Linked DNA regions of Drosophila melanogaster. The protein of the gene in region 2 purifies or fractionates together with the protein of the main gene of each other region. This does not show direct contact. Each region holds a gene or a part of one and is shown on either strand. Other genes may lie near its edges.

The links. The genes of interacting proteins can lie anywhere in the genome.
Region 1: the proteins of melt (region 2) and fmt purify together in Drosophila melanogaster (affinity purification with mass spectrometry, with the first as the bait; one large-scale study listed by BioGRID). This does not show direct contact.

Annotation. Positions count from the first base shown.
Region 1 is NT_037436.4:6,167,557-6,176,147, reverse strand, and holds fmt (fiery mountain), read left to right. Parts: upstream 1-2,267; 5' UTR 2,268-2,388; intron 2,389-2,611; 5' UTR 2,612-2,711; coding exon 2,712-2,771; intron 2,772-2,837; coding exon 2,838-3,037; intron 3,038-3,091; coding exon 3,092-3,416; intron 3,417-3,477; coding exon 3,478-3,791; intron 3,792-3,853; coding exon 3,854-3,992; intron 3,993-4,047; coding exon 4,048-4,166; intron 4,167-4,226; coding exon 4,227-4,800; intron 4,801-4,855; coding exon 4,856-4,920; intron 4,921-4,978; coding exon 4,979-6,031; intron 6,032-6,205; coding exon 6,206-6,347; 3' UTR 6,348-6,579; downstream 6,580-8,591. Other genes in the region: CG7376 (uncharacterized protein), read right to left, coding at 1-428, 494-1,650, 1,703-1,853.
Region 2 is NT_037436.4:7,131,098-7,139,052, reverse strand, and holds the start of melt (melted), read right to left. Parts: upstream 4,538-7,955; 5' UTR 3,826-4,537; intron 828-3,825; exon of another isoform or gene 542-827; intron 1-541. Other genes in the region: Acbp2 (Acyl-CoA binding protein 2), read right to left, coding at 5,686-5,934, 6,376-6,387; Acbp3 (Acyl-CoA binding protein 3), read right to left, coding at 7,664-7,909. UniProt on the Drosophila melanogaster protein: Participates in fat metabolism regulation by recruiting FOXO and the TSC1-TSC2 complex to the cell membrane, which positively regulates TOR activity and negatively regulates the expression of FOXO target genes.

The DNA.
Region 1 (8,591 bases), 960 kb from region 2:
TGTGGTGAGATCGACGCCAGGCAGGAGCTATTGTCTGCGTTGTGACGGGTGTGTTTGGCCACAGCAGCAAGGAATTGCTCGTGGCACTTTAAATGCTCTTCCCGATAGTAAAGGGACTCCACGTTGCTCAGCTCCAAGCGGTGAACAACTTCCGTTTGCGGCGGAATTCCCAGTTCGTGCTCAACTTTGGACTTGCAGGTACGCCACAAACTATGCTCGAGAAGTTCCAGCAGCGGCTCACATTTGTAGTTAAGCTGAAAGGCCTTGTCGACGGTTTGCCAAGCATCCGGTGGCCTACAGACTTCGGGCCGGCCCACGAACTCCAACAAAGGCGGCAATTCATCAATTGTGCCAGTAACAGCCCAACGATTAATGGCCGGCAGCATTCTAACCATCTCGGCAGCTGCTGAAGTGCTGCTCTCGACCATCTGGATGTGGGTAGTTTGGAAAATATTCAGTGGGCCGTGGATACAAAAGTAAAAAATTCTCTTACCTGTGCCTCATCCAAGCAAACGCGCCACCAGTTTACCATTAAAAGTGGAGAGTTGGGACGCATGTACCTTTGTTGGTGGCGCATCTGGCGGTCCGACTTAAAGTCCGTCGTATGGTATATTTCGTTACGCAGAATCGTATAGTCGGTAAGGACGACATCGTACTGGGCCAGATCGAAAGGACTAACCCAGAAGGTTGAGTGTAGGCCGAAATAAAGGAGCACCTTAAGCGATGGCGATATATGCTTGTGTATCTCTTCGAACCACTGCATCTTGATGGCGTTCGGAGATACAATGATGGTAGCGCCGCTCTCAACAAGCCTTTCGCCAGACTTTACCAATTCGGACCAGCAGCTGGGACACAGGTGGGGTAAGTCTGATTTTTCTGAAATAGTCATGCACATTTCGTGTTGCCACCGACGGCATTTGGTGCACTGCACTCGTTTACCGTGTTTCTTGGTGCAGATGCAGAAAACCTCGTCTTTTTTACTTATACGTGACCGCTTTAATGGCACTTCATCGGAAAACTCCTCGAGGCGTTGGTGCCAGTAATCGTTTCGGTAGGAGTCTTGTGGGCGCGGATTCATCAGCAGCATGGCCAGGAACTCCACGGTCTTGCCCAGGCCCATCTCGTCGGCCAGAATGCCACCCGGCGGCAACGAGATTTTGGGAATCTCCTCCTCGAAAGGATAAAATTGTAAGCAGTATTTATGCTTAAAGACGCGAGTTATACCATCAATGGCATGGAGCACTATGAAGTTGGCCGGCACTTGAGTTATCTGCTGCTCCCGCCCCAGCATCCAAGATACTGTGCGCTGCTGGTACTTGCGTAGCTGAGATTGAAATCTTTTCGGCAGGTCTAGCGAACGTTCCTGTTCAACATGAACGGTCTGGCGGTGCTTTTCGTAGAGGGCGTCGTACAACTTGGTGGTTACATATGTTTTTAAGGGACGCTTGTGCTCCTTCTCCTGCTGGGCCACCTCGAACTCGAGACTGCCTCTGAAGTCTTTAAAGAAAAGGGGCAGAACTTGTTCTCCCACTTCCATCTCGATCTCACGTGCTCGAACATGCGTCTGTTCATGGCTTAGCACCAGGATGCAGGAGCCCGACTCCTGCCGAATGGATCTGAACTTCAGCTTTCTCGTCCGAGCATTCTGGCCTGAAATATTTTCTTATTAATAAGTGCAATTATAGTACGTTAGCCTACACACATTTTTCAATACAAATCAAAATCTCCTCTTTATGCTCAACGAGATTATCTTTGAACACCCATCGCTTCTTTCCGTAGCGGAACTCCGTTGGATCCTCGGGACTTTCTGGAGGTACTTCATCAGCAATTTCGCACAAAACAACGCCATCCATTGTTATTTGCGAAATAACAATTCGGACAAACAAATGTGCGATGACCGCCAATTCGATATACGATAACAGAAAAATCTATATCGGACACCAAATGACACACCTCCACAGCTTAAATTTAACGATTGCAACAGGGGAATCTTTATGTTCTCTAGAAAGCAAAACATTTTCGGTAAGTTATCAAATAGCAACTCAGGCAAAAATGAAAAGAAAGAAAACCATTTAAAAAGAAAACCAATTAAAGAAATATATTTATAATAAAGAACTGTATTTAAATCATAAAACATAATTGTATGTAGTTTAGTTTCTACAATATGTGCAGCGGTTATCGTGTGAACAAGTTGAAAAATGACAATCGATAACCGATTGTGTGAGGACACGGTCGATCGGCCGCATATATCACACTGAGTTAATATACCCTGTAATCGAATATTGTCCACCTCTACGAAGCAGTGAAGAAAATTATAGCGTGGTTTTTTCGGTTGAAAACCAATCAAAAGTGCAACAAACAGTGAGCAAAACAAAGTCCAGCCAACTCGTAAGTGTGCGCCCAAGCATCCCGCAACCCTTGCAATCTCAAACGACCGGCATACAACCATTTTTCGACCCGCATTCGTAGTGTATATGTGGAGCCTGCTTGGCATAATTACAAAAATTTACGCATTACTTTGTGAGAGCCGAGTGTTGAGCTGAGTCTAGTCTGTGTTCAGTGTATTAATTGCGCTATTCCGCTTATCCAAATCTCCAATCCCGTCCCGCAGAGCCGTGCATGCCAAGTCATCAGCGTTCCGCGAGTCCAGCGAAGATTGATCTTGTTTCCCCCAGACTGAAAGTGTCACCGCCAAGACGTACGTGCGAAAAATGTTTTGGGACAAGGGTTATGCGCCCTCCGCGAATATAGAGGCGCTGCTCGAGAAGGAGGTAGGTTGACTCGATCCGTGCTGATCAAGTGGAAATGTCTCAGTTACGCGTCGTCGCCATTCGCAGAACTCCACACTGGAGGAATTTCTGGACGAGGAGGACATACTGCAGGAGTGCAAGACGCAAAAGAAGAACCTGGTCAACTACTTTACACGTCCCGAGGTCATACGGCGTCTGGTGGAGCTGATCACGACCGAGCCCTCTGAAGATGTGCCCATGTCGAAGCGTTTCCGCTATGCCAACATGTCCTGTGAGATACTCACACTGTAAGAATTGAATGCCCGTTGCCATCCAGAATTCTATAGCCCATGCCATTTTAGCGGCCTGCCGTCCCTGGATGAGAAGCTACTGAACGACGCGGAGACGCTGCAGCTGCTGTATTCATATCTGGAAAAGGAACCACCGTTAAATCCATTGCTATCGTCGTTTTTTAGCAAAACGTTTAGCATGCTCTTTACCAAAAAGCCTGAACAAGATTGGTTTTTGTATCAACACATGTGCCTACAACTCCTGGAGTATATTAAATCGCAGAAGACCTTTTTGGATTTCATTTGTAAACACTTTGACACACCGGTCATACCTGATCTAATAATGCAGATGATGAAGGACATCGAGGGTGGGCGACTTAAGCGGAACCTTTTCGAAGTAAGTCCATTAGAGAGTTTTGCCTAGGCATACGAATCTTATCGAATATTTCTTTTAACAGTGGCTAACTGAAGATAAAATTGTTGAGAGACTGATTGCAATATTGCGTAATCCTCAAGAAACCGACAAACATGCAAATGTTGCCGACTTTTTCTGTGATCTTATTAACCAAGGGCGTCTAATGCGCCAGACCGAGCAGGAGAACGATTCGTTTGAGCCGGCCTTCGATGGATCCAACCCCATTCTGAAGACGATCGAATTTGCGGACACAATTGAAGCCTTGTTAAATGTGATTTTGGAACCAAACGCTCAGGAGAGCGCCATCTTATCAGGAATATCGGTTGTACTTACGCTAATCAAGCCAATTACCTTCACGTAAGTTATGCTGCCAGTGAATTTGTCACCTTATTCTAATTGATTTACATTTTTTCCTGTAGAGATGAGCCCAACTCGGATCGCCAGCGGTTGTTGCAAAAGCGCGAACGCGAAATCCACCAGGAAGTCCAGGAGACTGTGATCACTGTGATGGCGCCACGCCTCCAGGAATTTGTCCACATACTGAAAAACCCGCCTGCGGTTAGCATGAAACTTTTTGTCACAAAGAACCAGCTGTTTATCTTTTGACTTGTAGAAACCCACACTAGAAACCACGGCCGCCGTGTTAACGCCCCCATTTGGAAAGACTCGACTGCAAGTTTGTCGCGTGTTCACCGCTCTGCTGGAGACCAAGCATGAGACTATTCAGCAGGCGTAAGTCACTGCTTTATAGAAAGGAGAACTTTTAATAAATAATAACTTTTTATACTTTAGAATCTGCGCGACTGAGTACTTCAGCCTGTTGCTGGACTTTTTCAAGCAGTACTGCTGGAACAACTTCCTGCACACAGAAATGGAGAAGGCACTGTACGTGGTCTTTTACAACGAGCTGTCCAACAACAACACTGCATCCACGGAGGTCACGGATTACTTCACTGCAGACTGCCTGATCAATGCCTTTTTGAAGGTGGGCACGGAGGAGTCCGAAGTCGAGATGAAGAACGCTCTTAACGATGCGAAGCGCGCGGAAGGTGGCAAGGATGAGGAAGGGGGCGACATCGAAATCGAAGTGGCAGCTGCGCAGGAAGTGGCTGCCCAGACGCCCGATGAGCGACAGACAGCCGCAGAAGAAAACCAAGAGCATGAAGAACATATGAGCCAAGTGGAAGCCGCAGCTGAAGCAACAGCTTCTGAGGACGCCGAACCCAAAGCCCAGGATAATGAAGTGAAAAATAGTGAGGTGGATGGTGAATCTCCAACAGATCAGCAAGAATCGGAGGCAACGCTCAATGATCTCGACAAGACCAAGACCGTTCCGAGCCCTCCGCCTTCTGAAATGCAATCACATGTAAGTCTTAGTTGACTTTTGTACCCAACTAAACTTAATTCTCGCTGATTTGCAGTTAATTGTAAACTGTCATCTGATATCCAAACTGGTCGACTTGTGGCAGCACAATGCGCAGGCGCAGTAAGTACTTCAATTGACTAATTATCAGTCTGGCACATAACAAATGTTCTTTTTTTAGATCTGCTGAGAAGGGTCGACGTTTGGGCTATATGGGCCACCTTATTAAAATTCTTCGTCACATTACGAATTGTATATCAGAATCTGAACATATCGGTGATCTGATCACCAGCAGCCTAAGTGATGAAGATGAGGTTAAGCTGTGGCAATCGTTGATCGATGCGGAAACTGGCGAGTTTTCGCTGGCGGTTAAACAGCAGACCAAGCTCCTGGCCGACTGCAATCCTCACGAGGAGAATCAGTACAATGATGGATCCAATGACTATACTGGCGAGATAAATGCGTGGAACGTTGGTAATCTGCCGTACAGAGAAGTGGATTGTAGTGAGCTGAATAACACGTTGCAAGACATCTTCTTTGCCATAGATCAGAATCGGTTCCAGTTTGGTCGAAACATTGACGACGAAGATGATGACGATGATGAGCATGGCGACCATTCAGGCGGTGGTGATGGCCACGGGCACGGCATGTTCACCAAAAATTCGAACACGCTGAACAACTTGGCTGACCCTTGGGACATCCAGTTTGCCGTGCTTTCCAGCGCGCCTACGCAGGTTAACACGGGCACTGCCAACTGGGGCACGGATTTCAATTCGGATAACTTTGCTGATTTCGATGCGCACTTTAGCACATTTGGCAGCGATCTTGGTATGCCCATAAGTGCGCCGCCAGGTGAAGAGGAAGAGGAGGACTCTTCCCCAGCGCCGGAATCCGCCACACAGGTGAACCCAGAAGAGGAGCGCCAACCCGCTGAATCTATTGGCCTCGCTGTGGGCAAGGGCGTTCAGGATAATCTAGCGTGTACCGACGATCAGCAGGCTGAGTACGACAATAATGCCAACGTGGAGAAGGCCATCAGCGATAAGCTGGCCGAGTCGAGCGTGGTGGAGACTGCAGCAATTGTTACTCGATTGCAATCCGTACTGCTGGACGGCGAGGATGATTATGAGGACGATGAGGGAATGTGGACCAAGCCACTGGGTGCGGATCGTCCTTCGGAGACCGAGCAAATTACTCCCATTTCAAATGGACCAGACAGCAAAGTGAATGAATTGTAAGTTAACCCTTTTGCACGTGGGTATGTAAATATGTATATATGAAATGTTTATACTTTTAATCTATTTAAAATGCCAAACAAGTTTACACCTATGCAATGTATTGGTTTGTAGCTCAATTTTTTGTTTTACCATTTATTACTTAAATACATTGCACTTGTAATTAAAACCAGGGGTTTACCTTTCAGCAATCATGCCAACGATATCAGCAGTAACAACGTGGATGGCCACGAAGCCAACATCACAACGGAGCAGCAGAAATTGGCCGCTGCCGCCAAGACGAACAATGTTGAAATTGCAACTACGACCACATAAATGCACTTCCTCACCACACCATACATCATTCAAGCGATATTGTGTCGACGAGAAATTGTAAAAACGCCTTTGATTTGCTCTTTGGTCATTATCATGCATACATATTTATATAAATATATACCACATACTACTACTATACGTACATATATAACAGGCTGCATAGTACAACAAAAGATTTGTGTATTAGCAAAAGGCCGAAACCCGCCCAAAACCAAAATGCAAATTATCAAACAAAAAAAAAAAAAAAAAAAAAAAAAAAAAAAAAAAATAGCATCAAAAAAATATCAAAAAGCTAAAAAAAAATATTCACAGTAAAAAGTGTATTGTTGATTCCTTCTGCTCCTCGCTCGTATTGCCAATTATTTTAATTATTACACTTTCTTCATGTTTCCTAATTAAGAAAACTGTATTTTGTTTGTAATATGTATTAGTCTGTCGATTTAGTACGCTTTTACTTTCAATACTCTCAATGTGTTAGGCAACCTATGAGCATTACTTAAAGTACCAAAATTCACGCAACGTTTAGAATGCTTAGTTTATATTTGTATTGTATTCGTTTTAGCTCGATCAGATGAGGATTATCTATCTATTCATATGATATATGTATGTATATACATATATATATATATATATATATATATATACACTTTTGGAGCTGTCAGTAAATTACGTTATCGCAAAGTCGTACGTTATCGTCCTCCTATTGTGGGGAATCCCCTCCAATTAGTGGTGACGTAATATATGGACAACTCCGCACTTATACTTGTATTGTTAAATTGGAGACTTGTATTTATTGTATGTATTTTGAAATCGAAAGCAAAAGCAATGCCAAAATACCAACACGTTCAACACCACATACCCATATGCTGCAAGCACAAACATACGCATTATGTATTAGAGAGGTATATGATTATATACTTCTGTCTTTTGCCATTATTACCTTGTTTGTATACAAATCGGTTTAAATAACAAAACATATTCTTTGTCGAAAGTACAAAAACAATGAAAAACAAACCACAAAAGAAGAAGGATAATAAACATAACGAAAGGACAACACTCGGCATTTGTCACCAAATGAATGATCTACACCCCCGATCTATACACCCTAACTATGCGTAAATACAATTACCAGACCAAACCAAACGAAATGAGAAATTCAAAAGAAGACTTTCCAAGAAGACATTTTAAATTTACATTTAAATATTTTGTGTATTGTGTTAATTGCGCTGTTCAAGTTATCGCTGAAAAATGTTTGTGTTTTAAACGTGCAGAGAACCACGAACAAAACGCTGAAAAAAATATTAAGGAGAAGTTAAACAAATATGCCATCATTTGCTTCCAAATAATTACGTTTAAATTATGATAAAAAATAAAACAGAAACTACTTTAAAAGTAAAATCGATGTTTGTTTTACACAAGACGACTTGCTCACCAAAAAAAAAAAAGAAACAAACAAAAGTTAGACACCTAGAGTAGGTATAATATAAGATTATCGAGAAAAGAGCGGGCAGCATATCAGGCATAGATGTGTGGAAGATCATTAATAACCAAACCCCTCCCCACACATCCTAGGCAAAAGCAAAGTAATCCTTATTTGCCGATTAAAATAAAATGCTTAGTTATAGAACTCAAGTTTGCACAAATTTCAACTCGCTTGCTTTTTACTTGCATACTGTAGCAACACAAAATGTGAACGAACAACCAAGAAAATGAAATAACAGAAATATGAATTAAAAGAAGAAATATTGAAACATTTAAACTATCTCTGATGAAAAACTGTGATAATTAAATGAAGTTGCAGGGTATTTGATAAAGCAAACTTAATTTAAACAAATTATGAAACATCAACTAATGGCCTCCACCATTTGGGAAATACAAAAGAACACAGCCAACACGAGACACTCTGAACAAGTTAATTATACGATTCTTTAGCATCACAATCAGCAGGACACCTCGACAACCAAACAGCAATAACTACTGCAATGAAATCTAATTGAAGGAGTTTTAACGTGTAGTCTGTAACAGTGCGAAAGTATCTCTAAGTTCGAGCTAGTATAGGGATGGTCAAGGATCGCGGCTATTAGTTCTCTAGCTTCTAACCAACTAAGCACTAAACTAAAGTTTAACTTAACCTAAATACTCATATCAAGCAGCCAATTGTAAACCATGTACTGTACATACATACAATTGTCCCCAGTATTGTCTTCCCCCTAGTTATGCGTTTTCGTTTACCCTTTCGTTTCA
Region 2 (7,955 bases):
TGAAATTGACTATATCCAATGAGAATTAGTCGGGTGTATTTGTTTATTTTAGTCAGTGCATTTTTTCACTGCCATGTTTGGAATTGGCCCATTGCCAAAGTTCAGGCGCCTCTGGCAGCCACTTTTTATCTTATCGCCGGGCATTTGTATAGAGGTTTCGCCAAAATATTTACTTGTTGCTCCAGAGCAGTTCTATTCTCGATTGTCCCGAAAGTGCATATATAAGTTGCTGTAGTTGTATAAATATAGATATTCCGCGGACACCAAATACTTGTTGCACTGCCTCGATGTTTATCTAAGATACTCTCAGGCAGAATTGCCCTTGCTCAGCCTCTGATGGAATGTATATTTCATGTTATACGAGTATGTATGCAGCCCAGCCAGAGAACTTGTGATATCGGAAATCCAAGCGAAATATACTAGCTAAAACAACTATCTTTATGGCAAACAAATTTGGGTCAATTATCTTTATGGAACCTTCAACTAATACGCATTGAGTCCATGATTGGCCCACATTAATTGCACAAGCTAGTTTGTTTACCCAAGAATCTGCACCGTATGGCCGGCCAGAAATTCTGCGAAAATGATTCGGCGGCTCTGTTTTCCGTGGGGTTTCCCGCAAACGCTATTTGTGTTTGCCCACTTGCAGTTGGCCGCTTGTTGGTTCCGCTGATAGCACCGGTAAATTCTTGGCCAACTTGCCGTCGAGTTCTTTGGACCTTCGTGGAATGCAGGTCTTTTGATTAGATGAGCAAAATTCCGGCAAGGGATTAGACGCGACTTAGCGGATCAGCCGGGAATTTGCTGGCTGGCCAAATCCGTGGGCGCTAAAAAAAAAACATGAAATGAAAAGAGCTGGCAGAAAAGTCATTTCGCGCGGCTGTCGCGCCATCAAGGAAGCAGACGCTAACGCCAACGCGCCTGGGTTATTAAATTTTCAAATAAAAACTGAAAACTGAAAGCCGAAAACCGAAAACTAAAAACCAAAACCAAGAGTTGCATAATCCATAGAGGCCAGTCAGGCGGGCAAAGCGGCTCTGCACGCGAATTGCAGACGGGACGGGTTGCTTTGGGTTTGGGTTCGGGCCTCTCGACGGGCGGACAAGCCGACAAGCGGACGGACGGACGGACAGACATTTGCTTCCTGGAAATCGGGACAGAAGACAGCGACTGGGCTGCTGTGGTTGTTGTTATTTATGGCTCATTCGCGCTCAGGTTGCAGCACCAACAACAAACAGAAAAACTGGTTAAAAAATAAATAAAGAAGCAGCAACAAGTCGCAGCAACAGCAGCGGCAGCAGCAGCAGCAGCAGCAACTTTGAGCGCCCGAGAGAAAATTAAAAGAGAAATAGAAACACACATATGTATGAAAAAAGGGGTTCGAGCTCGGGTATAAGTAATGGATGATGGCGTTGGCTAAAACATAAACCGAAACCGGTGCGGCAGGTTAATACACACGAAGCCCCGGGCCCAAGATCGCAGGGGGGGGGAGGTTTAGAGGAGGGCATGGTCTCCAGATTTCGGAGACAGAGTGGAAACAAAGGCTGTGCCAAAATTCGGGGCCCCATAACTCTTCGCTTAGATTCTATTTGCATTGCTCCACAAAATGGCAGAGTTCAGGAACGGAATAAAGCCAGCCACTAAATATCTTAGTTCGTCAAGCCTTTCTATTACAGTCGAACTTCTTGGACTCTTGGACAGCAATTTGGGTCAATTATTGTGATTACTCAAGCTTTAAGCATTTCAAAATCACGAAATGTATATGTTTTGAAACTACAATCCATTTTAGGTAATGAAATGTATTTTGAATCAGTATTTTTGAAGAATTTGTTAAACCCACAATAAGACTTCTAGGACTAGGCGGCTCACGGGGTGATATTTGAATATACTCGATGACGCAAAGTTCGTGAATATTCGGAGTGAAAAAGATATGCACGCAATTTGTAGATCTTGAACGTGACAAGATCACAGTTCGACTTACAGAAGTCTGTCTGTGCTTTTCGAAGAGCGTGCGAATGACTCAATTCCCAGATGGCGACACAGATACAGAGATGCCTCGCTATGAGTAACCCTACCTGTTGGCCAGGGCTGGACTAGCCGACCAAGTGGCACGGCCTTCGTGGATCTCCTTGTTGGGAGTTTCCGCGAACCGGGCAGCCGGCTCACATAACCGTCACACTGGACGTATACGTATTCTGATCCAGCGAGCATTCCGAGCTTTTCCGAAACCGAGTCGCATTGCGTGCTTGGCAAGTGTTTGGTTCTTGTTTGTGCATTCCATTGTCATACCTGGACAATCCAATGTGGCCCGAGGAGCGTCAAGTGTCTCGACTGCCAGCCACTAGTCGCTGGCCACTGGCAACTTGCAACCTGCAACTTGCAACTTGCGACTGCAATTACACGTCGGTTCAAAGTCTGCAAGGCGCCTCGGGGGAAAAAGGAGTTTTTGGCGGCTTATAGTCGCAAAACATACATAACTAGTATTAGTCGATGTCGCTGGAAAACTCGTTTTCCTCTAACTCCGATCGCACAATCCGTTTTTGCGTCTGTTTTGGTTTCTGACTACCTGGTGGTGGGTTGGGTTTGGCTGACTGGGATGCCTCCGATTGGAAATATATTTATCTAGTCAATTTGAAATCTGGGTTGCAAATGTCATCAATAACTATTGGTTAAGGTTGAGTAGTAGTAAGGCTCTTGTGTGGGAACTATCTCAACAATGAGCGAAGTATGTATCTTTTCAATTGCATGCATTTAATATCAGTTTCACAATGTAGATCTCTTATAAGCAAAACTGAATTGCCAAGTCAGCTGTTTTGATCGATCCATGAGTTAAATAGAGAGACGATCATGTTCGACAACATTTATTCAAAATCAGTATGCATTTAAAATCAAACTTATACGTTCTTAGCCAATTCATATTTAAGTGTATTGCATCACCAGGTAAATTATGTTATCTACCCCACCGAAAGCCGAAAACTACCTACATGTACGAATTAGCAAAAAATTATAATTTATTCGTACCGCTTCTCCTTTACCTTCCCCCCTTGCCAAGTATTTGGGGACTGCGAAAAGTAAAGACAACATCAACACGGTAATCCGATCCGCAGACGAGGTGATTCCGGGGACAGGAGTGCGAGTATGTTGAAAAATGAGCGGCGCGTGAAACTTATTAATGAAAAGGCCGCGAACGAAGAAATTGCTGCGAATTAGCCCAACAACAAGAAGCGGGCACACGGGAATATATACAAATATCGCCACAGATACTAACGCTCACATTTTGGCACATTTTAATGGGATTGGCGGAGTCTGCGATCGGAGATTTTCTGGATTTCTGGCTACCTGGGCAACTTTTTATTGAAATATCTGGTGAAATTGCGGCATAAAATCGTTTGAATTTAGCGAATAACACTGATCTTGTGGTATTATTAACTCTGCTTTAAAGCTATAAGCTCTCTTCTGAAAAGTCTAAGATTAAACTTAAGTTGAGAATTTAGTTTCGAATTTAATATATGAATTATAAATGCATACATTATTAACATACGCGGAGATAGCAAAAGCATAACATTATACTTTATTATTAAGTTTGTAAGGTCAAACTTTAGTCACTCACGATTAGATAAATGTTACACTTTTAAAAAACCTATCACTGTTTGATTTGTCGAATTTCATATTATTGCTTTGATTATGTTTAAAGAGCACTAAACCCCATATAAAGTAAGTGGCTAACGAACGAAGTTTTAACTCGCAATCCAATCGAGGCAATTTCAAATTGTATCTTTCGGTCTGCGAATTTGAATGCGGCAACGGTGAATGGGCGAAACTCACCGAATTGCATCTGCGGCTGCTGGCAGACAGATGACCAGTCCGTATCACTTCGAAGTGTGGGCCTCGAATTCGGAGTCGGTTTCCGATTCGGAGCTAAGCCGCTCTCTCAATACATCGCTCTTGCAGCAGCAACACAAAATCCAAAAAAAAAAAATCAACAGACTTGAAAAGGTAAAAAAGGTAGACAACGTTTGTGGTTGTTGCTGCTGCCGCTATTGTTGTTGCGGCTGTGGTGTTGTATTTTTTTTATGGCTGCTACTTTTGTTAACTTTGGGTGTAGTTCAATATTAATTTAATTGTTGCTGCTGCTGCCGATAAAGCACAAAATTCAGAATTGTCGTTGGCGTTACTTATTTTTTTACGGCCGCGCTTTGTTGCCGCGCCAGCGCATTGCTTTTTATGCAAATTTTCGCATTTCGTGTATATCTCAAAAGATATGTTTCGTATGTACTATTATTAATATATGTATATGTGTATATTTTGTTGTTTTTTAGTGTCGACTGTTACTGCCGCCGACTGTTGTTTCAGCCACAATGCCTTGTTCCACTATGCCTGATTTCTTTGTATTTTTGCTAATCACATTTTGTTAACACACACACTCGCATGCACAGGCACACACGTAGGCAGGCGCACGCACACACCGATAGGCGAAGAAAGCGACGGATACGAGCCGCTGGCCAAGCGAACGCGTTTGGGCCCGAATGAAGACTGAACTGAGTTATTTTTCGGAATGGCCGAGACTGGTGTGGTGGTCGGTGTGCCTGTTGTTGTTGCCTGTTTGTTTTGCACGATCGCTCTCTCTTGGCTCTCTCTATCACTCTCTGGACTCTCTCTCAGCACCTTTGCTACCGTTTCGCAGAACAGGTGTATCGGTTTTCAAGGCAACTGTGATTTTTTAACTCAACATTCTATATCGAAAACTTGTAGAGGTCGGAATTTTTCTTGAGCGCCTAAAAGTGTGCAGTGAAATCATTTAATCCACTTCCGGTTGCAAAACAGGAATCACACATATGAAGTGATTAAAAATCATAGAAGGTTTGACACCTTCAAATAATAAGAAAACAAAAATTTGTAAACTGTGATAATTTATTTAATTGAAATCTTAATTTAATGGCCTACAAATCTGTTGAATATCCGTTGAATACACTTTTCCAGGGTGTGTCCTAGTCGGCTCCTCTTTGTTACCCCAGTTTGCTGGTCTTCTTAGCCGCACACCAGTTTATCGCTGTTTTGCCTTTGCGCTTTTCATTCATAAACAAAAAACAATGTTATTGTTATTGCGGTGGCTGTAGATGTAAATGTAAATGTAGATGTAGAGGCTGCTTCTTGTGTCTGCTTCCTTTTCTTTGCTGTTGCGATGTTGCTGATTCACCTGTTGCGCACGATTTAGCAACTGGCCACTAGCAACATGTTGCTATCGGCAGATGATGTTGCGATTGCATTTAAACAAACCCAACTTAATTCGTGAAAAATCGTGGCCAATTATCTAAAGCTTTTCGTTAAGTTAAACTACGTACGTCAAACAGGATAGATGGATGGCTCAAGGTCGAAGTTTTAGGAAATCTTCCCCTCGACTTTGAACCCCGTTCGAAGCGCGGTTTGGACAAACACACTCGAAGATCCATTAACGATGCACCGCTAACAAGCGCCACTGGCGGTTCAAAGTACTGCAAAGCGGTGCAGCCAGCCACTTCCTCTATTTGCCAGTTAAATAGCCCCAGGCCAGGCGTATGCACCTCTTGAGTCACCGGGTCAATATCTTTTAGTACAAAATTAACATACGAAGTTTATTCCGCATTAAAGGTAACATTACAATAGTCTCTAGCTGGTTTAAGATCGCTAATTGCTGGGATTGGGTTTTTAGGCATACTTGGCCACCAGGCCCTCCACAAAGGTGATGTACTCCTGCTGGGCGGCCTCGCTGCTCTTGCCCTTCTGCTTGTTCCAGGCCTCCCACTTGGCCTTGCCCTTCAGGTCCAGGAGACCCGGCTTGGCGGTGTCGTTGTCACCAACGCTGGCCTGCTTGAACAGGGCGTACAGCTGCAGGAACTCGTCATCACTGGGACGCTTGGTCAGGCTCTTCACCTTCTCGGCGGCGGCGTTGAATTGCTGAAGATAGACGGGATGATTTATTAGTGGAAAATCTATCAAGTGGGATCGTAAAATCTATTGAAAGTGGTATTATAAAAAAGGTTTGGAATATTAGTTGCAACAATATCTACTAACAAACTGTCATTAAAACTAACAAAAATAGTTGTGCGAGATAAAAATATTCTCTGGAAACTACAAAAAATTATAATTATCGATTTCAACCGAAAACGGTTATTACTTCAAAACAAAATCGTATTTGAACAGCTGTCCTTGCTTCAGCGGAAACACAATCTTATCTCATATTACGATTACAATTTTAAGATTGAAAAGTCAATCGCTTATGAATAGATTTCGCTCAGTGTATAGTAATCGAACAGGTGATTAGCAGCAAGGCTATCGCGCCCTAAATGTTGGTAGACTGTTGCTATCAGTGCATAATCTTTTGGGAAAAGTACTTACCTCGGAAACCATTCTGGGTTAGATTTTATCTGTAAGTAGTGGAATTGTAAAAAAAAATGTTTAATTAGTCATGTTTATGAAGTGGTCAGCTTAATGTTTATTAGCATAATAAGTAAAACCAGTTCCGAGTGAAGAGGCTGGCGTGTGCCAAACAGAGCCAGCTGGAAATGACCTTTGGCCCCGGGGGGCGATCTTGAAGACCCTACGAATGTTTGCTAATGGATAGATGTTTGTTCGACTTTCTCCCGGCTGAAATACATAATTCGAGTAGAACTGGGAAATTATGCTGCGGAAACAGCAGACGCAAATATTTGTCTCGACTGCGAGATTTTTGAAAGGGAGCGAGCGGGCAACCGTTAGCGGCCGCTATTGGCCGGCGAATTTCGACCAATTTGGATACGGACGTGGGCTTTGTACGTGTCTAGCACTGAGCAAAATATCTGGCACATACATATGGTCATGCTTAGTTATGGCCACGCCATCTTGCAGTTCTAAAATAAGTAATCATTTAAAAGGCACTCATTTAGTTTATGGGCGTTGGAAATTGCAATAGGTCAAGGTGACAAGTTTCGTTTAGCATGTTCCAGAATATGCGTTTCAAAAGCGATTTTTTGTACTATATTTTCATCAGTGCCTGTTGCCTGGCGAATTTCCATAATTGAGCTCTGCAGGTGTATAAACTCGCACGAAATGTCCACTTTATGTGTCACCAGCACTGATATTACCACCCATTAGCAGCTGGGTAATTGAATTTAAACTAAACACTTACTGTTGTGTGTTGTTTGCCACAGAACTAAACAGTGTCTGAATTCCAATCCGGCGGTGACTTTCAATTTAAGTCATTCCATATCGCACGATCGCCCGCAACGAGAAAGCTTCTCCCCAGTGAGCAAAATGAGCGGTTAAGCTCCACTCCGATTCTCAGTGGATCGGGAAGCTTTCGCTGAAGTGGGGCTAGGCATTCGCGTTGCTGATAATGCAGGCCTACGGATAACAGCTCCGATTTCGATTCCCTGATAATTCACCCCACCAAACACCACTGTCAAGACACGTAATCTCGTTCGGATCAAAGTTCGAGGGGTCCCACCGCTCCCAAATCTCCATCTCCATTTTAGTTCCATAATGCACGAAAGCTCCAATAAAATGCCGCTCAGCCGGACAAACACCTGATTATTGCTCATATATCTGGTAATCTTTATTGTCCAACTAAGTACTATAGTGGTGATGGCAGGTGCATGGGGGGTCCGCAATCGGAATCGGATTGGATCGGATTTGATCGGTTGCCGGCTTAGGCGTACTTGGGGGCGTACTTCTCGTACACCTTTACGTAGGCCTCCTTGGCAGCCTCCTTGGAGAGACCCTTGTTGGAGCTCCAGGCCTCGTACTTGGCCTTGTCCTTGAGAGCCAGAGCGCCGGGCTTCTCGATGTTCACATCGCCAACGGTGGCCTGCTTGAAGAGACCGTAGAATTCCAAGAACTCGGCATCCGTGGGCTTCTTGGTGAACTTGTTGGCGAGTTCAGTGGCTTCCTCGAACTGTTCAGCAAAGGAAAGTCGCAGTCAGGAAACTTTGTACTTATAT